Elephas maximus indicus: one gene and its partners. The main gene of each other region encodes a partner of the protein of the gene in region 2 in a complex. Links are inferred from orthologs where the notes say so. Each region holds a gene or a part of one and is shown on either strand. Other genes may lie near its edges.

Region 1 (7,613 bases), on a different chromosome or scaffold from region 2:
GTAGGCATAGGTGCATGCATGCATGAGGATGTGTGTACGTGGCTGCGTGCAGCTGGTCCCCAGGCTCAGCATTGGCGAGGGACTATGCCCTTCTCTCTCACAGAATTCCGAAACAATCCAAGACACCAAGGGGAATGTGCTTAAAATGGTCTGGACTTACCTGGGGTCATCAAAGGCAGGCGGGTGGGTGGGGGGCACATGCCTCTGACCCTGGGGCCTCAGTAGTCCCCCCTACCATGGGGGGCACCCTCCCACCCTCAGCCTGACTTTCCAGGTGTGAGATCACCTCCCGGGAGTACTGTGACTTCATGAGGGGCTACTTTCACGAGGAGGCCACACTTTGCTCTCAGGTAGGTCTTGGGGCAGAGGGTGATCCCCCCCGCCACCGTGGGTGCTAATGGCCACTCTGTGCAGGTGCACTGCATGGATGATGTGTGCGGGCTCCTGCCCTTCCTCAACCCTGAGGTGCCCGACCAGTTCTACCGCCTGTGGTTGTCCCTCTTCTTGCACGCAGGGCAAGTGACACACTGGGCATGGTGGGGTGTGCTGGGGAGTGGCCAGGCTGGGATGGCAGGCTCCCACCGTCCTGAGTATCCCCTCCCCTCCCCCACCTCAGGATCCTGCACTGCCTGGTGTCCGTCTGCTTCCAGATGACCATCCTGCGGGACTTGGAGAAGCTTGCCGGTTGGCACCGCATCTCCATCATCTACCTGCTGAGTGGCATCACTGGCAACCTGGCCAGTGCCATCTTCTTGCCTTACCGTGCAGAGGTGAGGTGTCCCTCGGGTGGGTACACTCATGCACATCTGTCCACGTCCAGCACTGGATCAGGTCCCTCTGTTTGGCCCTTGGTTCTGATTGGTTCCAGGCCAGGGAGGTGGGGCAAGAGGAAGTGAGACCTGGGTCAGCTCCGGTGCCTCGAACCCCCACAGGTGGGCCCGGCTGGGTCGCAGTTTGGCATTCTGGCCTGCCTCTTTGTGGAGCTGTTCCAGAGCTGGCAGATCCTGGCGAGTCCGTGGCGTGCTTTCTTCAAGCTGCTGGCTGTGGTACTCTTCCTCTTCACCTTTGGGCTGCTGCCTTGGATCGACAACTTTGCCCACATCTCTGGCTTTGTCAGTGGCCTCTTCCTCTCCTTTGCCTTCCTGCCATACATCAGCTTTGGCAAGTTTGACCTGTACCGCAAGCGCTGCCAGATCATCATCTTCCAGGCCGTGTTCCTGGGGTTGCTCGGCAGCCTGGTGGTCCTCTTCTACTTCTACCCTGTACGTTGTGAGTGGTGTGAGTTCCTCACCTGTATCCCCTTCACTGACAAGTTCTGTGAGAAGTACGAGCTAGATACGCAGCTGCACTGAGCTAGGCCCGAGGGGTGGGGGCTGCAGCCATGCTCCAGCAGGCCTGGAGCCCGGTGCCAAGCCTGCCTCTGCCCTTGCTGGCTGGCCAGATCATGTTTCTGAACACAGACCTCTGTGCCTTGTTCACTTCTGTTGAACCTCTCATGTCACCATGTTTGTTACACTAATGCCCATAATCACCTTCTAACTAGTCTCTTTTGACAACCACCTCACGCGGCCAGTAAACGAATGGGAGCGTTTTAGCTGCCGTTACCTTAATCCTAGCTGCCTCCTCCTTCTGGGATCCGATCGTGTGGCTGTGGAGGGAGGTCCTTCAGCCGGGTGGATGCACGGTGCCCTTCCTTTGGTGACTGGTAGGTGATGGTGGGGTGGGGTGCCCCAATGATGCCCTTGCCCTCAGCCCTGCTGGAGAGCCCCCATGCTTGGTCCAGCCAACAGCTGTAGTTTCAGTCCCATGCTCCCTCCTTTTCACCCAGTGAGCCCCAAGGGGCCTCTGGTCCAGCCCATATCTGTGTTACACACATTCTACCCTGGTCCCACAAACAGAAACAAAGACAGCTGCTCTGCTTGTCCCCCTTGCTGTACAGATCACGGCATGAGCAGTTTGCCATCTGGGGAACCATGCAGCCACAGGGCACAGGTGGTCACCCTGGACCTCAGGGCCCATGTGTTCCAACCCTGCTCCCTTTCTCCACCTCCCTATGGGGCAGCATTTGTACCTCCTGGCGGGGGTACTCTGGCTTTTTGACTTTCAAACTAAAAAGCAAACATTTATTTTGTATATGAGGCTGTCCTGTGGGATCCACATGTAGTCAGGTTTGGGCCTCAGGAGGGCTTCAGATCAAGTAAATGGAAGAGAAATGAGGACCTGACAGTCATGGAGCTCACATTGTTGGTTCCAGATGGGGGAGGAAGGAGGAGGCAGAGCACAACTGGGGTGAGGCTGCAACCTGCCTTTCTGTGAAGGAGACAGTGGCCAAGGGTAATGTCCTGAGGAGAAGAGTTTGTCCCCCACACCTCTGTCCTTGCTGGAGGCTCACTTTTGTCTCAGCTTTTTGATAAAGGAGACCTCATCCCGATTCCGGATGCCGTAACTGAAAGAGAAAGAAAGGTCGGATGTGTCTGATGGGCAGAAAGATACACCAGTGACTCCTACCTGGGGCCTGTGAAAAAGAAGGGAAAGAAAGGGGAGAAGAGGGGGTGGTGCCAGGGAGAAGGAGGCAGAGCGAGGAAGCGGCTCATGCTGTTCAGTGGGTGGCCCTTCCCCTCTACATGCTTACATTTCCCTCCATCTGACCTGTGCACATCCACAGGACCCTGATGTTCTCACAGTGGTGAGAGCCAGCCAGGACTGCTGTAGCCAACTCCTCTGCCTGCCCTTTTAGTGGGGATGGCTGAGATCCGGCACATAGGTGTTTTTGGGAAGCCCCTTCCTTTACGAGAGTACAGGGACTAGAGGCAGACAAGGACCAGACACCCCTCAGCAGCTCAAGATGTGGCCAGGACTTACTCTCGGAGCTTCTTCCTGTCTTCTGTGAGCTTTTCTCCCACAAAGGTCAGATAATAGGTCCTCCACACGTAGGACCTGCAAGAGGGAGACTCAGGAAACAAGGAGTTCTCTTCCTGCATGATGTGCACACCAGGCCTGAAGGAGCTACAAGGGGCACTGGTCCCAAAGGGCTGCATAGGGGTCGAACACCCTTGGCAGAAATGCACTGGTGCAGAGTAGGGGAGAGAGAGAGAGAGAGAGAGAGAGAGGGAGGGAGGGAGGGAGAGAGGGAGGGAGGGAGGGAGGGGTGGGCCCTGACCGAGCAGTGCTGTCTGTAACCAGGGAGACCATTTCATGTCACACTGGAAATGCCTAAAGGTGCCCCCAAGTGAAGAGTCAAGCAGCGGAGGCGGGACAACACAGATGAGCATGTTTAGAAAGGAGGCAGTGGCAGGAATCCATGGAAGACCTGTCTCTGCCTGAAAGAGCTCGAGACAGGGCACTCACCCCTCAGTCATGGCAGAGGACCAGAGAGCACAGGTCCAGCACGTGTGCATGCTGGCTTGGGAATTGCTCCACTCACCAGCTGATGTGCTGAATACCCCCTTCACGCTCCTGCCGCAGCTGCACATATCTTTGGATGGCCTTCTTCAGGTCCAGGACTGTGGCGTTCTGCACGACGACCACAGCTGCAGCCAGGGATACAAATGGGAGAAGACCTCAGGTCAGTGGGTACCACAGGCCAACCTCGGGGCAGGGCAGGTTCGTGGTGGCCTTGATGTCTCTGGCAGCCCTGAGAAAGCACAGTGGCAGGGAGGAGGGCATCACTTACGCATGACCTCTCCGTCCATCTTGCACACACAGACAGTCATGGCCTGGCCATACTCCAGTGCTATCTGGGAGTTGACCTCTTCCAAAGTAACCTGGAAAAGACAAAAGTGGGGTGCTCTTCTCATCATCCCAAATGACAATGAACAAAACAAGTTGACAGAGGCCAAAAAGGGGTGTCCATATTTTACGACAAGCAAGTAGAGGAAAGGATCCTTGCTTATATTAGGGCTCGCAGTTCTTCAGCACCCCGATCTCGAATTTCACCCATACTTTTCAAGTTTAAGGATCAAAGTGGACAGAGGCTCCAGTAAAAGAAGGGCACAGAAACAGGGTCGCTATGAGTCGGAACCGACTCGACGGCACCTAACAACAACAGAAATAGGCAGGAAAATGCGCCCTCCGAGGACCAGCCCTGTGCTTCCTCCAGCTCAGGGGCTGCAATATCCACACGACCTCGGGGTCCGCTCCCCGCCGCTCCTGCCCCGGCCTCGCTGGGAAAGACCCCGGCTGCGCACCTGGATCGGCAGATCGCAGAGCAGGGGGTCCTGCACCACCATGGCGAGACCCTCCTGGAACACGTCCACCACCTCCGAGTGCGGGAGCGCCTCGTCGTCGTCCTCGTCGACCTCCGACGCCTCGGGACGCGCCTCAGCCTCAGCCCCCTCCAGGGCTGCGTCCGCCGTGGGTCTCTCGCCCCGGCCAGTCGGCGAGAGGAAGACGAATTGCGTGCACAAAAGGACTGTGGACCGCAGAGCAAGCCTGGACAGCCATTGGTGCGCTTGGGGGCGGGGCGGGCCACCTTGACCAATGAGAAGTGCAAGACCGTCTGCTGCTGGGCACGCTGGGAGCGCGAGGCCAGCGTGCCTATTGGTGGCCTGAGGAGTGCCTTGCCTGGGCCAATGAGAGCTCGAGGCCGGGCGAGCGCCGGCGCCCAGCGGACGCGGAGGTTGCCGGGAATCAGGATGCTGCAGGGGCTGGCGGAATCGGGCTGATTCGCCGGCTATGCTGCTTTTCTGCCCGGGCTGCGGAAACGGGCTGATTGTGGAGGAGGGGCAGCGCTGCCACCGCTTCGCTTGCAATACCTGCCCTTACGTGCACAACATCACCCGCAAGGTGGGTCCCACCCTCACCCGCTATCCGCTCATGCCCATGTCGGCTCTGCCTTTGAGACGATCGGAGCCAGCCTCTAATCCCGTAGAACAGTCCCGGGGTTATCGCAGAAAAATGCTGGCTAGGCTCCCTGCGCAGTGTGCTCTTCACTGAGCCGAGTCAAGTCCCAGCAGTCCGTGCTCAGAAACCTCCAGTGGTTCCCGGCCGGCTGGGAGTAAAAGCAGTTCTTACAGGGCACCCCCAGGCTCTAGCCCTGACCCCGCCCGCCTGCTTCTCGGATTTCGCCTCCTCACGTCCTTCTCCCTCTCGCTCTTTTTCCCTAACAGCACCGGCCACTGCGGTATCTCCCGTCATGCTCCGGCGCTGCTACCTGCAGGGCCTTTGCATAGGTTCTTCAGCTGGGCGCACTTTTGCTCTGGATCCACGTGACTTGGTGGTCCCGTCTTTACTTAAATGATTACACTAAAGTTACAGCCCTCTCAATTTTATTCTCCTACCCGGTTTTATTTTTTCCATGGGACACGTACCTTCTAATATACTTTATAATTTACTCATGTGCTTTGTTTATTAATACTAAAACATAAGCTGCAGGAGTGCAGGGAGTTTTTCTCTGTTCTGTCCCTTTCTGTATCCTAGTCTGAATGCCTGGAATGGAACCTGCATTAGAATGGGTGTTTAGTAAAAGAAGGCTGCATACTGTACTATAGGAGCCCTGGTGGCACAGTGGTTAGGCGCTAGGCTGCTAACCCAAACGTTGGCGGTTTAAACCCACCAGCTGCCTCTCGGAGAGAAAGATGTCGCAGTCTATTTCCGAAAAGATTTACAGCCTTGGAAATCCTATGGGGCAGTTCTCTGTCCTAGAGGGTCTCTCTGAGTTGGAATTGATTCTGTGGCAATGGGTTTGGTTTTGGGTATACTGTATTATAAGTGGACAATATTTTAGTATTTTTCCATTGATAATACATCTTGAGGAGCCCTGGTCGTGCAGTGTTTAAGAGCTATGGCTGCTAACCAAAAGGTCGGCAGTTCAAATCCACCAGCTGCTCCCTGGGAAACTCTATGGGCAGTTCTACTGTGTTGTATAGGATTGCTGTGAGTGAGAATCAGTGCAACAGCATTGGGTTTAATACATCTGGAACACTATACTTTTCAGAAGTAGAGTATGTTTGTGCTGCCTCAGTTTTGTTATTTGCATACACTCTAGTGTATAACTGTGTTGTGGGAGTTTAGAGTCCCAAAAGACGGGAAGAGCGAACCCTTATGTAACCCTGAAAGTTTCAGGGATGTCTGATAAAAGAAGCCAACTGTAAGCTGCTTTGAAACCTCTCTCTACCTGGGTGGGGGGTGTCTGGGCTACCCAGCTAAGTGGTATTCTTTGGTTTCCATTTTATACGTTTCTCTCATATTGGATTATCATGTGCCCTGGAGAGGTGGGAGAGAAGGAGGGCCACACCTAACCCATTTTTCTTCCTCTGATCATCCCAGGGAAACCCTGGTGGCATAGTGGTTAAGTGCTACAGCTGCTAACCAAAAGGTCGGCAGTTTGAACCTGCCAGGCGCTCCTTCGAAACTCTATGGCACAGTTCCACTCTGTCCTATAGGGTCGCTATGAGTCGGAATTGACTCGACGGAAATGGGTTTTTTTTTTTTTTTGGTAATCCTCCCAGAGATCTGTGACTGCTCAAACTACCCCTCTCCTCTTGGTGGGCAACCTGTTCACCAGAAAACCAAACCCACTGCCGTTGAGTCGATTCCGACTCATAGTGACCCTATAGAACAGAGTAGAACTGCGCCATAGAGTTTCCAAGGAGCACCTGGCGGGTTCAAACCGCCGACCTCTTGGTTAGTAGCCAGCAGCCATAGCGCTTAACAACTATACAACCAGGGTTTCCAACCTGGTCACAGGTTCTCTATATTCACAGCCCTGGCCTGTGAGAGCAGGAACTTTGTTGTTATTTACTGTTCCTCCACTGCTTGTTGGAGGAAGCAAGTCTGGGAAGACACCTGAGGACTGTTCTGGTTTGGTGGCCCAGGGTTTGTACCAATCACTTCCTTGGAGAGTCTGAAGACTTTTTGTTTGTTAGGTGACAAATCGGAAGTATCCCAAGCTGAAAGAAGTAGATGATGTACTTGGGGGAGCAGCTGCCTGGGAGAATGTCGACTCCACTGCAGGTGAGGGGAGCTCTTTTCATTACAAAGCTGTAGAGAATTACAAGGCTGCCCGCTGCATCTCCATGTCAGAGTCTGTAACGGTGTACTTCTCATGGGGCTTCTAAAAGTAGAAGTCATACTGTGTGCTTTCTTCTTTAAAAATTTATTCGTAAGACACATAATATTGGTATAACCCTTGGAGTCATACAGACTGGGTTAGATTCTTGGTGACTTTTTGTCATGGGGCCTTGGTGAGCCCCTTGGCCTCTCTGGGGCTGATACATGCTCATGGGCTGTGCAAAGATTAAGTGAGTTTTACAGCGCTTGAGTTCAGGAAGCACTCAGCAGATGGTAGCTGGGGTCACAGTGGCAATAAAAATCAGAGTATAAGGAGAAAATATGGTCTTTTTGTTTGAATGTTTAAATGTTTAATCACTCCTTGCCGAGAGAGATAGCTGTGACCAGGGAAGGAAAGAGGAGAGCCCCAGATCTAACCTGTATGGAGAGGGGGAAGTGCTAACTCAAGGTTAGCACTCCTTTTTCTGTCCTATAGAGAGGAACATCCAAATTCGCTAGGTTAAAGATTAACATCTGCAGAATCTGCTGTGGAAAGATGAAATGTGTGCTCAGTGTTGGGAATGTTCTTTTTAGAGGGCTGTCAGTTTCTCAGAGTGACATCT
Region 2 (7,275 bases):
CAAAAGTACAATAAAATATTGGGTGAATTAGTGCTGAGCACATGGTCTAATAAGGATATCACTCCATTTCACTTCCTAGAGGAAAAATATCCAAACTATAGTAAGCACTGTATTTCCCTGCCAAGAATATCCTAACACATAACTGTCTTTTAAGGCAGCTTCTCAACAATGTCATTCCTCAACAATCCCTTCCATCTGTACTCTTATAGCACCTCAATTTTACTTCCTCTGTAGTACATATAGGAAACTCTGGTGGTGTAGTGGTTAAGAGCTACGGCTGCTAACCAAATGGTCAGCAGTTCGAATTCACCTGGAGCTCCTTGGAAACCCTATGTGGCAGTTCTACTCTGTCCTTTAGGGTTGCTATGAATCAGAATTGACTTGACGGCAACAGGGTTAGGTTTGTGGTACATATAAGGAGCCCTGGGGGCGCTGTGGTTAAGCGCTCCACTGCTAACCAAATGATCAGCAGTTCAAACCCACCAGCATCTCCATGAGAGAAACGTGTTAATCTCTTCCGTAAAACTTACGGCCTACGTTAAGACAACACACAATACAGGAGAGGTCAGCACAATTGGACTAAACCAAAAACAAATAAGTTTCCTAATAAACTGAATGCTTCGAAGGCCAGTGTAGCAGGGGCAGGGGTTTGGGGACCATGGTTTCAGGGGACATCTAAGTCAATTGGCATAATAAAATCTATTAAGAAAACACTCGGTATCCCACTTTGGAGAGTGGTGTCTGGGGTCTTAAAAGCTAGCAAGCGGCCATCTAAGATGCATCAATTGTTCTCAACCCACCTGGATCAAAGGAGAATGAAGAACGCCAAAGACACAAGGTAATTATGAGCCCAAGAGACAGAAAGGGCCACATAAACCAGAGACTACATCAGCCTCAGACCAGAAGAACTAGATGGTGCCTGGCTACAACCGATGACTGCCCTGACAGGGAACACAACAGTCAATCCCTGAGGGAGCAGGAGAGCAGTGGGATGCAGACCTCAAATACTCATAAAAACACCAGGCTTAATGGTCCATCTGAGACTAGAAGGACCCCAGAGGTCATGGTCCCCAGACCTTCTGTTAGCCCAAGACAGGAACCATTCCCAAAGCCAACTCTTCAGATAGGGATTGGACTGGACTGTGGAACAGAAAATGATACTGGTGAAGAGTGAGCTTCTTGGCTCAAGTAGACTCATGAGACTATGTGGGCAGCTCCTGTCTGGAAAAGAGTTGAGAGGGCACGGGGGGTCAGAATCTGGCCAAATGGACACGAAAATAGAGACTAGAGGGAAGGACTGTGCTGTCTCATTAGAGGGAGAGCAACTAGGACGGCAGTGGTATATAAATTTTTGTATGAGAGACTGGCTTGGTTTGTAAACTTCCACTTAAAGCACATTAAAAATTAAAAAAAAAAAAAAAATCACAGCCTAGAAACACTGTGGGGCAGTTCTACCCTGTACTAAGGTCTCTATGAGTCAGAATTGACTCCATGGCAATGGGTTTGGGTTTTTTTGTGGTAAATATCACACACTGCATTGTATTGCAAATATTTGTATATTGATATCATCATCCCTCAAATTCTTAAGTACCCAGATCATATCTTTCTTACACAATTCTGTTCTTCACACAGAATCTAGCTCAGGGACTTACACATAAGAATGCCCCCAAAGGGGCTGGATGAACCCCTAAAACTACTGTCCTGAGATAATTTTAAAACTTAAACCAAAAATATCCCCTGAAATCTTCGTAAAACCAAACAATAGTTTACCTTAGTCAAAAATGTCTGCCTTGAGCATTATGCTCTTTTAAGATCTATACCGGATCAAAGCAACAACAACGTTAGAGGGCAGTTAGTTTATGTTAATGGAGGAGGAACAACTCAGAAAAGGACGGTTAGAATGGTTGCACAACTTGAAGAATGTAATAATGTCACTTAATTGTACATGTAGAAACGGGTGAATGGGTGTATGTTTTACTCTCTTCACAACAACAAAATGAATGCCCCCAAAGGAGCGACTGGATAAATCTCTAACTTGATTAACAAAATCTTCATAAAGGCCACATCCCACCAAGCACCTTCACAAGGTAAGCAAGAGAGTAAACCTCTCTTTCCATGAGGCTTATTAGTACAGTTGCCAAAAAGGTTTTCATAATTACCTTTTATAATGCTGTCTCATGGGTCCCTTAATACTTTTTTCTGCTGCCGAATGGGGAGGTCAGTCAAGTTCTCACGGGAATTTTGAAGCCTAAACGAACGTTTAATAGCTGGAGGAGGACGGGGTGCAGGGGGTGGGGAGGTATAGGATAGGGATCAGGCATGAACAGTGGAGGTGATTTGTGTGGCTCGCAGGCCACACCCTGTTAATAGATGCTTTTTCCTTCCTCACAAGCTGCCTCCACCTTTCCTTAATCGAACCTTTATACTAACTTTCTCTGCTCTCTTCCAAGTGCCGATAAACTAGCCAAAAAATAAAATAAAAGGAGGGAGAGAAAAAATATAGAATTTCGTTTTTTAGAAAAGAAAAACCTTATTATGAGTCCCACGATACGGGGTAAAGTATCAACAGTTAAAACACTGTCCTCAGCTGTAAGTCTGCGGCAATGACTAGTGCCTAAAAAAATTATATGCCAAATCCCAGGATCTGGTACATCTCCTCCCACTAATAAAAACAAATTCCCTTCTAACTCACTGCAAACAGTCCCAGGAAATGCAGGCCAGGTAAGATATGGAAACGACGATTTCATGTGATTTTTAGGGGAGTAGGAAAAGGACAGGTAAAGCTATCTCCCAATGCGCCTCAAAGCAAGGGCTCTTTAAAGAATCTGTACTCCTGACTACCCCCATCCACTCCACGTGCCCCTTTAACTCCCCACTATGGTCCTCACGCTCGCCCAAAGGCCCCGATTGCTTGCTTCGTTACCTGGTCACTAAGGCTCGTGGCTTTGGCAAAACTATGCAGCAGAAGTGCCGGCCGGCAAAGAAAGGGTGCGAGCAGAGGGCGCCGAACCTTCGGGCCGCTGGTACCACTTTAGCAAAAGCGCGCTCCGCCCTCCACGCGGCCCCGGAACCGCGTTAGGATTCCAACCAACTAGCCCCGCCCACCCCTTAGCTAAGCCCCACCCCCTGAGCCAAGAGTTTTTTAGCCCTTGGCAGGCGCCGTAGTCGCCGTCTAACCGGTTGGCCTGACTCCGTGCCGCATGAGAGTGAGCATTGAGACGCGTTGGGGGTGGACAGGCCTGGTGCAGCCTCCCACAGCTCAGTCTCTGCAGTCAGACCCCCCGGGGTGGGGAAAGTATCTCTTGTGCAGTGGCTCCCGTGCTGCGGTTGCACAGGCTACTACTGCTCCTGCGCCCGAGTGCGGCTAGTGCTGCCCCCGCGCTCTGCTGACCTGGCGGGAGGGGCCCCACCTCCTCCTACCTCTCCCCCTGCACCTCCCTGCATCCTCCGCCCCTCGCTCTGCGCCTGCTCCCAGGCTGCGGGCAGACAGCGCCACAACCGCCGCAGAGTCGCGGGTCTGGCCACAGTGCAGGAGGTACACACGCCCACACCTACCTCGCCCGGCCGCACCCCTGCCCAGGATGTCGGCGCTCGAGTGGTATGCCCACAAGTCCCTGGGCGACGGTATCTTCTGGATTCAGGAACGCTTCTACGAGTCGGGCAACCGGGCCAACATCTGGCTAGTGCGCGGCTCGGAGCAGGACGTGGTGATCGACACCGGCTTGGGGCTGCGCAGTCTTCCTGAATACCTGTATTCCTCCGGCCTCCTGCAGGACCGCGGGGCCAAGGACGAAGCAGAACGCCGGCCTCTGCTAGCGGTGGCCACACACGTGCACTTCGACCACTCCGGCGGCCTCTACCAGTTTGACCGGGTAGCTGTGCACCACGCTGAGGCCGAGGCTCTGGCTCGCGGGGACAACTTTGAAACGGTGACATGGCTGTCCGACAGCGAAGTGGTGCGAGCGCCCAGCCCTGGCTGGAGGGCCAGGCAGTTCCGAGTGCAGGCGGTGCAGCCCACCCTCATCCTGCAGGATGGTAATGAGTCCCCCCATGGGCGCGCGCTGTCTAATTGAGAGAGGGGATGTCCGAGGGATGCATGTTGCAGACCTGCATGGCTGTAATGGGGGCTCGTTTTAGCACACCACAGAAACGCCATTTCTGTTTTAGCTTTCCCCGAGTAAATGCCCACCTTTCCAGAGCCACGGCAATCACAGTCTTCCCTACCTGAGACCAGCTTTGGCCCCTTGAAGCGGTTCCTAGAAGGGCGGTGAAAACCGATCCCACCCCCTAGTCAGTTTCTTGTGTCATGAATAGTGGTAAGACTACGGGGACTTGTGACTGAGGCTTTCCCATTCCTTTTCCAGGCACCTTTCTGACATTTCTGGGTGTTTTTGTAGCTAGAAGACTTCCAACGAATGACACCTCACAAAGTGCGTGTCATGCTCTATGCTTTTGAGAAACGCTGACTTTATCTGTTCGGTCACCACCTAGTACGAGCAATTTCCACCTGTAGGCTTAGAAAGCTGTCAGAGTGCAGAGGTTCCAATCTGATCATGCAACCCTACCTTCCAGATTTCTAATCTTGCTGTTGCCTCACTAGAGAAAAAGCTTGATTGTAAACATAAGGGTAGAATATGCTTTGAGTCTTGTGTTAAGATAGATATCTGTTGTGGTCGAAAGCAAAATTCGAGAAGGATTAATAAGGAGATTGCTTCTGGTGGTGGTGGAGTATGTAGCCTAATGCATAGATAGTCCTAGTTCTCTTTGGCTCTGTGAAGGACGGAATAGGATTCAGAGAAAAACTCATGGAATAAAACACAGTAAGGCCCCAACCTGTTCCCACCCTCAGGAATTAAATACTTGAGGTAATTGGCCACAGGAGCAATATCTGGCATATTAATTTCCTTTTTTATTTTTAAATACTTTTTTTTTAATCTCATTTTATCCTTAACATATTCGAAGTGAAAAACACTGGCATCCAATAAAATGACTTGCCTAAGATCCACAAAACAAAATAGTGACAAAAGCTAGGATTTGAACCAAGGTACAATAGATGAAAGCGTGCAGAACATACATAAATCCTACCACAGAAATATTATAATTCTGAGTAGGATGCGAAACCTTTTCTTTTCACTTTGACACCATCGTTACTAATGAGTCGAAATAAACTTGACAGTAGCAGGTTTGGTGTTTTGGTGTGTGAGGTAGAAAAAATCCAGCTGCTGAAGTACAGTAAGGTACTAAAGCTCATTTTATGACCAAACAATATCACAAAAAATGAAATAACACAAAAACCAGTTTATCTTATGGACAGGGTTTTGATCATCTCAGATGCTAAAAAAATAGAAAGGAAAATTAACATCTCATTCCCCCACTAAAAAGTTTTTTCATCGAAGAACTGATTTAGATGGGGGAATCTTATGTTACCTGACATTATGAGGCACAGGAGAAATACATTTACATTAAATTTACTTTTGGTTCTTGTATTTCTCGATATAATTAATACTTTCAGAGGTAAGATTTCGGCACAGTTGATGGGTATGCAGACTCAGTTCTGGCACTCACAACAAAAAATATTTACATTAGTATTAAAATATATTTGAATTGTTCTGAAGATTACTTTTGATCCTATGCCAGCAATGGGAAATCAAGGATAAAAAAATGATAGGGATTATTGTTTTATAGATGAAGAAAATCTGTTGCCATCCAGATGGTTCTGAGTCATAGCAACCCTCTAGGACAGAATAGAGCTGCCCCATGTGGTTTCCAAGCAGCGGCTAGCAGATTCAAACTGTTGACCTTTTAGTTAGCAGCTGAGCTCTTAACCACTGTGCCACCAGGGCCCCTATAGAGGAAGAGAGAGTTTAAAACAGGCCTGACTATTGTGCCTGAGATCACATAGCCAGTTTGGGAAAGAGTTGGAACTAGAACCTAGTTCCCATTAGAACCTAAAATCCCAGTACGTGGTATAATCAGTGTTTTGGAGGTGTAAAGAGACTGCAAGCTACTTGTGTGACACTTTAAGCCTTTTTAAAGTGTGAAAGAAAGCTTAATATTTACCGAACGCTTTCAAGACGATAATACTGTGTTATCAAAAGTTGTTTTTCTTTGGGAGTCAGAAGCCTCACTCTCTGACACACTCCTCCCCCATTGCCATTGAGTTGATTCTGACTCATAGTGACCCTACAGGACAGAGTAGAATTGTCCCATAGAGTTTCCAAGGAGTGCCTGGTGGATTCGAACTGCTGACCTTTTGGTTAGCAGCCGTAGCCCTTAACCATTATGCCACCAGGGTTTCCTCACCCTCTCAAGCAGTACCTGATTTCCTCTCTTCTTAGGATATTACTTTCCTGTATCTTCTAAATGATGTGGTCTGCTAACTTGTTATTAACAGACTCCACATGCCTAGAAGGAGATATAAAACATTTATATTAAAAGTTCATACACAGTTACATACTCGTACTCAAAGAGCTCTTAAGATAAGGTCTTCATTGCTTTGGTTAGAATACAAGGAGATGGAATTCATTTTTTTTTTTCCTTAATTACTTTTCATTTAGTGCACTGTTTGTCGTGGGGAATGATAAATCTGTATTCTGTATCACTGATCCAAAAGTTGTCTCGTAAACGAGGTAGCTACAAGGAGTACGAGGGAGAAAATAGCCATATCACTAAAGTCGTTATTTTTGTCAGAAAAACAACTCACCTTGTTAGTAGTTGTCTTAGTCAACTAGTGCTGCCATAACAGAAATACCACAAGTGGATGGCTTTAACAAAGAGAAATTTATTTCCTCACAGTAAAGTAGGCTAAAAGTCTAAATTCAAGGCGTTAGCTCCAGGGGAAGGCATCCTTTCCCTGTCAGCTCTGAAAGAAGGTCCTTGTCCTCAATTTTCCCATGGTCGAGGAACTTCTCAGGCGCAGGTACCCCGGGTCCCAAATGATGTGCTTTGCTCCTGGTGCTACTTTCTTGATGGTATGAGGTCCCCAACTCTCTGCTTGCTCTCTTTCCTTTTATCTCTTAGACATAAAAGGTGGTACAGCCCACACCCCAGGGAAACTCCCTTTATATTGGATCAGGGAAGTGACCTGAGTAAGAGTGGTGTTACAATCCCACCCTAATCCTCTTAACATAAAATTACAGTTGCAAAATGGAGGACAGCTACATGATACTGGGAATCATGGCCTAACCAAGTTGATACACACGTTTTTGGGTGGACGTAATTAAATCCATGACAGTAGTGAACTAGTATCTTCCTAAAAAAAATAGCAATATACCT
Region 3 (8,026 bases), on a different chromosome or scaffold from region 2:
GTATTGGAGTCTACCTGAGTCCCTTTCTAACCAAAGATTCCTGCTTCTCACCAAGATTCTGGGAGACTAGAGAACTCTTCCTCCCCTAATGTTAGCTCCCCAAAAGCCCTTTCCCACAGCCACACCATAGCCCCTCCTCCCCAGACCTTGGTACCCACATCATCCTTCTCCAGCATGCGCAGGATCTGTTTTGTTTCTTCATCCGTCTCCCTCTTCTCTTTTTTGATGTTGATGATATGAGAGGGCCCCATGTCTGATATATCCACTGTCTTATCCCAGTTCCCTATGGAAAATCACCCAAGTCACTACGGATAAGGAAGAGACCGACACCAAAAGTAAACCGAGAGCAGGGAAATTTCTCTCAGGTAGTCTAAACCAAAATCCACTGCTATTCCTCTCAGAGCCCCAGCAGCCTTGTACCTTTTTTCTTCATCATTTCAGCTGGGCCCTGCTCAAAGATGGAGTGGGACTGGATAACTTCTGGGCGACCCCGGCCACGTCCATGTCCTTCTCGCTGTCGATCTCTATCCCTTTCACGCTTCTCCTTCTTGACAGTTACTTCTTCCTTAGGCCTGGAAAAGAGAATGGACTAAGGGAAATCACTCATTCACCTTGCCTCAGAGAACTTATCTTACTCTCCCACGCCACTCTATTCCAACTAAGCAGAGTTTATAAGCCAGCAGTTACATCATGAGGAGAAGCAGAAGTTATCCCTAGGTCTAGCATCTTTTTCACTTCCTTAATGGGGCAGGGTAATTTCAATTTGCTTTACTTTACCTTTTTAAGAGTATATGTCAGAACTATAACTCAAATGCTGAACTACAGAAACTCCCCAAATATGTATTTTTTTTTTTTTTTTTTTTTTTTTGAGCTGACTGAAAACAAGGTGGCTGTAATACATATGAACGTTAAGGGAAAACACTACGTCTCTGTGTAAACTAGCAGCTCTCAACTCTGGCCGTGTAAGAGAAACATTCCATTTCACTGAGAAAGCTAAATTACAATTCTAGGGATTGGGTACCAGGCATCAATATTTTTTTAAAGCTTGCATACCTGAATCACCTGGAAGCTAAGCTTGAAAGTCACTAATGAAAATAACTAAATACACAAGTTTAATTTTCTGAGCCACCTACTTTTGTGTGTCCCAAACATACAAAGTAAAGCTCCAAATTCAGAGCATGTAAATGAGGGGCAGGTATTCAGAGGCCCAGCTACTTACTCTTCCTTGATCTTCCGACTGATGATGTTTGGGGTAAAGGTTTTCTGAAAGTAAAATACAGGAGTCACTGATTGGTTAAGTTCTAACCCCAAAATACAGAGGAAAATGAAAACTCGCAAAGGGCATCTTCTAAGGACCAAGCTCATCCTAGCTCTCTTCCACACATCTGACACTGTTGTCAGAGATTAGAGGTAGACATGGACCCAAAGAGCAACATCATACCGCGGTAGCAGTGAGTTATACAAAGCAGATCGGGACAGCAAAAACCATTTTAACTAGCAGCCTCAGCTTCTGCCCTCTGAAAAGTTCTAAAAGCTAAAGAATGTATCTCATCTCATCTCTTGTCTTCGAACTACTCTAGAAACCAGTCAACATCAGAGGAAAGCTGCTCTAACAGCAAGGCTCAATAGGAGATCTGCTCACACTCAGAGGATACAGTTAAGACTGTCACCCGAATTTCCCAAGACAAAAAGTTCTAAAAAACTGGCTGCTTTATGTTTCTTTTTTTTTCCCCTCCTCTTCAGGGCTACCCTTTACATCTATAGGCATAAATATAACATGAGGGAACTCAGAGCCTCTAATGCTATGCCTTGATTCATTACAGGACAGATCAGAAGTTGCATACCCAGATACATGGAGAATTCCTAACCCCCTAAAATTGCAGACACACATTTATGCCTGCCTGGCTTTCTTGGGTTTCTCAAAGGTGTTTCAAACACAAAGTAAAGAAACACTGCTCAAATTGCTTTTGAGTCTTGGACTCATTAGGATTCTCTGTGAGGTGCCCTGGTGGTGCAGTGGTTAAGTACTCGGCTGCTAACCAAAAGTAGAAAGGTGGGTGGTTTGAACCTACTAGCTGCTCCATGGGAGAAAGATGTGGCAGTCTGCTTCCATAAAGATTTACAGTCTTGGAGACCCTATGGGGCAGTACTCTGTCCTACAGAGTGGGCTATGAGTCGGAATGGATTCCATAGCAATGCGATTGGTTTTGTTTTGGTCCTTCAGTCACCTCTGGGAACCATCCCAACATCTCGTACCCAACACTAGACGTGAAAGTTCAACAAGATCCCCAGAATTTAGAGAGGCGTAGGCAGAAGTCTCAGCACAAGATTCATGGGGGGCTAGACACCACGCCTGGCACAGTGTAGGCCCCACATCAGTATTAGCTGCATCCCAACCCACTGCCGTCGGGTGAATTCCGACTCATGGACACTCTATAAGACAGTTTAGAACTGCCCCACACCAGGGTTTCCAGCTGAATCCCAGGAACCTGGAATTCAAGGTACTTGGGTCTCTTTAGCAAGGCTACCTTCTTCACTCCCCCGAGGGTGAGGTCCCTGGAGCGGACAGAGGGAAGGCGGCCCGCGGTGACAGAGGGCGCTGGCCGCCTCCCGATAAGCCCCCGGGGTCCAGAGAGAAGGGGTCGGGGCCCTCCGGGGATACTGGGCTCGCCCGCAGCATTTCCTTCCGACATACTGCCTGGGAGAGAATGAGAAAAAGGGCAACAAAGTCACCCGAGGGTGCGGACACGCGAACTCTAGGCGTAACCCAACCACGTGGCCTGCCGCCCCCCAGACAGTGTGTCCTTCCTCGTGAGTCTCAGCTCCTCCCCCTCTCACGTGGCAAGACTCCCTGGACCACCCGGTTTGAGGTTTTACTCGCGACCCCGGTCCGCTGCCCTTCGCCCTCTCCCCAAGCTCTCCAGCCAAGCACGAGGCAGGGACGCACTCCAGAGCACCCGGAGCACCCGGGCTGCGGCTCTACACCACGCGCGTCACGACTTCACCTCCGACACGAGCCGCGGCTGGCACTCAGTCTCCGCGCTAGGCGGAAGTCTGCGTGGCAGGGCCCGGGCGCCGCCATTTTGCCGCGGGGCGGAAGTGAGGTCCGGTGGGCGGGGCCGGGGCACAGTATTTATCAAGCGGCACCTCGCTCCCCTCCGCCTTCTCTTCCCGGTTCTTCCCGGAGTCGGGAAAAGCTGGGTTGAGAGGGCGAAAAAGGATGAGAGGACGGGTCTGGGTTACAGTAAGATGTTGTGCTCAGGGGTCTGGCCCGGGACCGGACGTGGGGACGCCGAGTTCAGGGTCTGGGGTCCTTGGCAGCCGCCACGCCACAACGTGAGGATTCGCCTCGGCGGAGCCTGTGGAACCAATGGGGTCGCAGCTCGGATGGGGCGCGGGGCAGAGAGCGAGACCCGGATTCACATTCGGGAAGCCCTGGGGCAGGGCCGAGCCGTGGCCGCGGCGGTTGCCGCTGTGGACTCCAGATGGTGACCTTGGAGTGGTCACTGTACCTCCAGGCAGTGGCTTCGCTCGCGTTTGCTGTCGCTCGGAGGCCCCTTTTTTGAACTGGTGGGGTCCTGGTGTGGGGCTGTCGGGGCAGCGCTGGAGCAGCTGCAGCGGACGAACCTGCTGGGCTCACGACTGTGCAGGTTCTTGTGTGCGCTCTTGGTTAAAGCCTGGAAGGTACCTGAAAAATGAAAAATTTTGCAGGAGAGGCGAAGTGAAATAACTTTTTTATTGTGACTTTGACGCTTGTAGTTTGACATAAAAAATGTCCTTTAATGTTACACTTTCCTCACTGTACAGCATATAAAACCATGTAACAACATTACGGAAAGTTTGGGGAAGGGAAAGTATTTGTTAGAATTCCACCATAACCAAAAAAAAAAAAAAAAAATTCTCTGCTGTGGAGTCGATTCCGGCTCAGCGACCCCACCATAGAGTGCTACTGTTAAAGTTTTGGTAATACAGTCCTGTATCCTTACCAGAACCTCTTGTACCACAATTTTGTATGCTTTTTCAAAGAACATTTCTTTTGCTGCATCCAAATGAGTAATTCTCTGTCGTGTGCTGTTATGGATTGAATTGTGTCTCCCCGAAATATATGTTGGAATCCTAATCGCTGTACCTGTGGATGTAATTCTGTCTGGAAATTAAGGTTTTCTTTGTTATGTTAATAAGACCATATCAATGTAGGGTGTGTCCTAAACCCAATCACTTCTGAGTTATAAAAAAGCAGAAGAGACACAGAAGCAAAGCAATGGATACCTCTAGATCACTGAGCAAGCAGGACTTGAAACTGAGACAGGAATTTACCACCACCACCACCCCCCCACCAGACTGGACAAAGAGCAGTGAATTTGGACTCCTAGCCTCCTACATTGTGACAAAAACAAATTTCTGTTCTTTAAATCCACCTACTTGTGGTATATGTTACAGCAGCACTAGGAAACAGACAGGTACATCGTGATTTATTTCCCTGTTGTTTGGACACTTAGATTTTTTTTTTTTTTTTTTTTTTTTCCCTCGGTTGTAAATAACTCTGCGGTGAACATCTGGTTCGTTTAATGTTTTTTTCTTCTTTTGGGTTATTCCCTTGGTCAGATGTCCAGAGCTGGAGTAACTGACCTAAAGAACATGTGCAGTTTTTTAAAGTGAACTTTATATTTTGAGATAATTATAGATATACTCACCGTTGTTAAAAAAAAAAATAGTGCAGAGTGATCCCAAGTACGGTTTACTGGAATTCCCCCAATAGTAATGTCTTACAAAATTATGGTACAATCTCACAACCAGAATAGTAACATTGATACCGTCAAGATATGCCCGTTTAATAGCCATGCCTACCTCTGTCCCTATCCTCACCCTCCCCTGACAAACACTGATTTGTTCTCCATTTCTATAATTTTGTTATCTTAAGAATGTTATATAAGTGAACTCGTACAGTATGTGACTCCTTGGGATAGCTTTTTTCACTCACCCTAATTCCCTAGAGATTTTCCAAGTTGTTGCATGTATCAATAATTCATTCTTTTTTATTGTTCCCTACCCATAGTATGTATGTACCACAGCTTAACCAGTCACCTTTTGAAGAATATCGGAGTTGTTTCCAGTTGTTCACTGTTATGTGTAAAGTTACTATGAACATTTGCGTATAGGTTTTGAGTAAGCATAGATTTTCATTTCTCTGGGATAAATGCTGCTGTTGAGTTGCCCCCAACTCATGATGACCCCATCCATAACAAAATGAAATGCCACCCAGTCCTGCACCATCCCCATGATCCGTTGCGGGTCAGAACTTGAGATCCATAGGGTTTTCATTGGCTGATTTTCAGAAGTAGATGACCATGCCTTTCTAGCCCCACTGAAATCTGTTCCGCATTGTAGTGACACACAAGCTTCCACTGACAGCATGGTGGCTGCACACGAGGCACATTGGCTGAGCAAGAATTCAACCACAGAACCACTAATGCCTCAGTCATATGACTTGTATGCTTAGTTTTATAACAAACTGCCAAACTTTTCCACAGTGGCGGTACATTTGATGGTTCCATGTTGCTAAATTGCTTTAAAAAAGGATTGTGCTGATAATGCATCACTACTAAATATATGCATACAAGAATATCTATATAACATATTTTTTAAAAAAACCATCGAGTTGATTCTTCTCCTAGCGACCCTAAAGAACAGAGTAGAGCTGCCCCATATGATTTCCAAGGAGCACCTGGTGGATTCTAACTGCTGACATTTTAGTTAGCAGTGTAGCACTTAACCACTACACCACCAGCGTTTCCGTATAATATATAAGAGTGCATATAACATAACTCGCCTGCCCCCTAGAGACCTGCTTTGCTTTCTCCAGAGAATACATTTGCAGGTTTTTGCCTTGGTAGGAGAGAAGCGTTTGCCTAACTTCATAGAGCTGGGAAGGGAATCTGGGGATCTGACTGCTTTTTAAGCAGACTTGCAACCCATCCTCCTCCGGCTAGTTCCCCTTTTCCTCACCTCCACTTCAAAAGGAACCTGGAGCTAACTGGTTATGAGCGCCTCAGTGAGTACTGGTTTGGCTCTTGGTGCCCTCATTACTGCCTTAGGAGTCAGTTTTCTTGGTCTCCTAAGTCTTTTACCACTCTTCCATCTGTTTTCAGTCTTCTCAAATTCTGTTGCCATTGTCATTTTATGAAATGCTATGATTTATATAAAAAATATTGTATTTTTGGTGAACATACACACTGCAAAATAGGTTCCCATTCAACAATTTCCACACATACTGTTCATTGACATTGGTTAGATTTTTTGCATTGTGTCAACATTATTATTTCCATTCTAGTTGTTCCATTCCCATGAACCTTCTCTCACAGCCCCTAAACCTTCTCATCCATATTTTAACCATTGTCCATTGACAGGAGCCATGGTGGTGCAGCGGTTAAGCGCTTGACTGCTAACCTAAAGGTCAGCAATTCAAACCCACAAGCTGCTCTGCAGGAGAAAGATGTGGCAGTCTGCTTCTGTAAAGATTTATAACCTTGGAAAGCCTACAGGACAGTTCTACTGTGTCCTGTAGGGTCACTATGAGTTAGAATCAACTCTGTGGCAATGGGTTTAGTTTTGCTTGCTTTGGTTGTCCATTTGGGCACATATAGTTAATTTTTTAAAAGAGCTCAGTACTCGATTGACATTTTTTGTTTTGAGTTAACCTGCTATTTAGTTAAAAGGTAACTTCAGGATATACTTTCTGTTCAGAGTTTAAAGAGTATCTCAGGACAATGGTCCCTTGGATTCCTCCAGTCTCATAAGTATGCGTTCCTGGGGAATTTGAAGTTTTGTTCCACATTTTTCTCCCTTTCTATTAGGATTCATCTACTGTGTTGCTAATCGGGACTTCAGTATCCAAGAGCCATCTAGCTCTTCCGGTGTCAAAGTAGAGGAGACTGTGGTTTATGGAGAAAATTAGTCCTGTAGACCAGTTCCTTCTCTGATTCTTGGGTTTCCTTCTTTCTCTTTTGCTCCAAATGAATAGAGACCAATAGGTGTATTGTAGATGGCTGCTCACAAGCTTTTGAGACCCCAGAGGCTACTTGCCAAACTGATGTATTGGATTTTACTTTAACTTAACATGGGGGTGGAAAAGTGGGAGAGAAGATGGATAAAGAGTCAGTAATTATAAAGTATGAGTTAGTAAATATATGGTTGTTTTTAATAGTACTGTTTCTATCTTTTTACATGTCTGAAAATTTTCATAATAAAAATATTTTTAAAAAAGAGTACCTATAATGTTTGTCCATATCCTTTTCAGTATTGGCTCTTAAAATTTTAGACATGTTTTTGCCAATTTAATACTATATTAGTATTGTATTCTGTTGGTGCCTAACCAGATTTTTTTCAACTTGTCTTCTCCATATCGGTTTCATGATAACCAAATAAAATCCCTACACACAGAATTCCTTAGCTTCTGACTGAAGCGCTAGATGAAATTTATTTGATTTGATTCTCTGGGCTTTAATGTCCACCAACCTTTTACCAAAAAACAAACAAACCCGTTGTTGTAGAGTCAATTCTGACTCATAGCGACCCTGCAGGACAGAGTAGAACTGCTCCATAGGGTTTCCAAGGAGCGGCTGGGGGATTCAAACTGCTGACCTTTTGGTTAGCAGCTGAGCTGTTAACGGCTGCACCACCAGGGCTCCACCAGCCTTTTGGCAGCTCCTAATTTTTTTGTTTTGTGTTAAAAGATATTTGTTCGTTGTAGAAAATTTAGAAGATTTTAAAAAGCACTCAGAAGGAAATGAAAATCATCTATTATTATCACATCAATTTTTATATGTATTTGATGTTGGTTTTTCTATGCATATAGGTTTTTAAAATTAAGGTATTTTTACATATGGTGCTATATCCTGCTTTTTCTCTCTTAACAAAGATTTTTCTGAGTTATTAAATATTCTAAGTTGTTTTAGTCATCTAGTGCTGCTATAACAGAAATACAACAAGTGGACGGCTTTAACAAAGAGTAATTTATTTCTTCACA

What was found.
Region 1: POLR3G (region 2) and POLR3K share a complex: the UniProt entries of both Homo sapiens proteins name them as parts of the RNA polymerase III complex. The link is inferred for Elephas maximus indicus from reciprocal best matches to the Homo sapiens genes POLR3G and POLR3K.
Region 3: POLR3G (region 2) and POLR3D share a complex: the UniProt entries of both Homo sapiens proteins name them as parts of the RNA polymerase III complex. The link is inferred for Elephas maximus indicus from reciprocal best matches to the Homo sapiens genes POLR3G and POLR3D.

Annotation. Positions count from the first base shown.
Region 1 is NC_064830.1:57,373,838-57,381,450, reverse strand, and holds the start of POLR3K (DNA-directed RNA polymerase III subunit RPC10), read left to right. Parts: upstream 1-4,579; 5' UTR 4,580-4,674; coding exon 4,675-4,785; intron 4,786-6,866; coding exon 6,867-6,954; intron 6,955-7,613. Other genes in the region: RHBDF1 (inactive rhomboid protein 1), read left to right, coding at 104-148, 275-350, 415-515, 617-770, 933-1,262, 3,184-3,324; SNRNP25 (U11/U12 small nuclear ribonucleoprotein 25 kDa protein), read right to left, coding at 2,389-2,446, 2,863-2,937, 3,425-3,530, 3,674-3,764, 4,188-4,229. UniProt on the Homo sapiens protein: Core component of RNA polymerase III (Pol III) which synthesizes small non-coding RNAs using the four ribonucleoside triphosphates as substrates. Can mediate Pol I proofreading of the nascent RNA transcript.
Region 2 is NC_064820.1:97,122,104-97,129,378, reverse strand, and holds the start of POLR3G (DNA-directed RNA polymerase III subunit RPC7), read right to left. Parts: upstream 3,078-7,275; 5' UTR 2,924-3,077; intron 2,913-2,923; exon of another isoform or gene 2,249-2,912; 5' UTR 2,160-2,248; intron 1-2,159. Other genes in the region: acyl-coenzyme A thioesterase MBLAC2, read left to right, coding at 3,582-4,035. UniProt on the Homo sapiens protein: DNA-dependent RNA polymerase catalyzes the transcription of DNA into RNA using the four ribonucleoside triphosphates as substrates.
Region 3 is NC_064840.1:52,465,547-52,473,572, forward strand, and holds the start of POLR3D (DNA-directed RNA polymerase III subunit RPC4), read right to left. Parts: upstream 3,087-8,026; 5' UTR 2,878-3,086; exon of another isoform or gene 2,839-2,877; intron 2,699-2,838; 5' UTR 2,694-2,698; coding exon 2,529-2,693; intron 1,264-2,528; coding exon 1,220-1,263; intron 573-1,219; coding exon 421-572; intron 284-420; coding exon 159-283; intron 1-158. UniProt on the Homo sapiens protein: DNA-dependent RNA polymerase catalyzes the transcription of DNA into RNA using the four ribonucleoside triphosphates as substrates.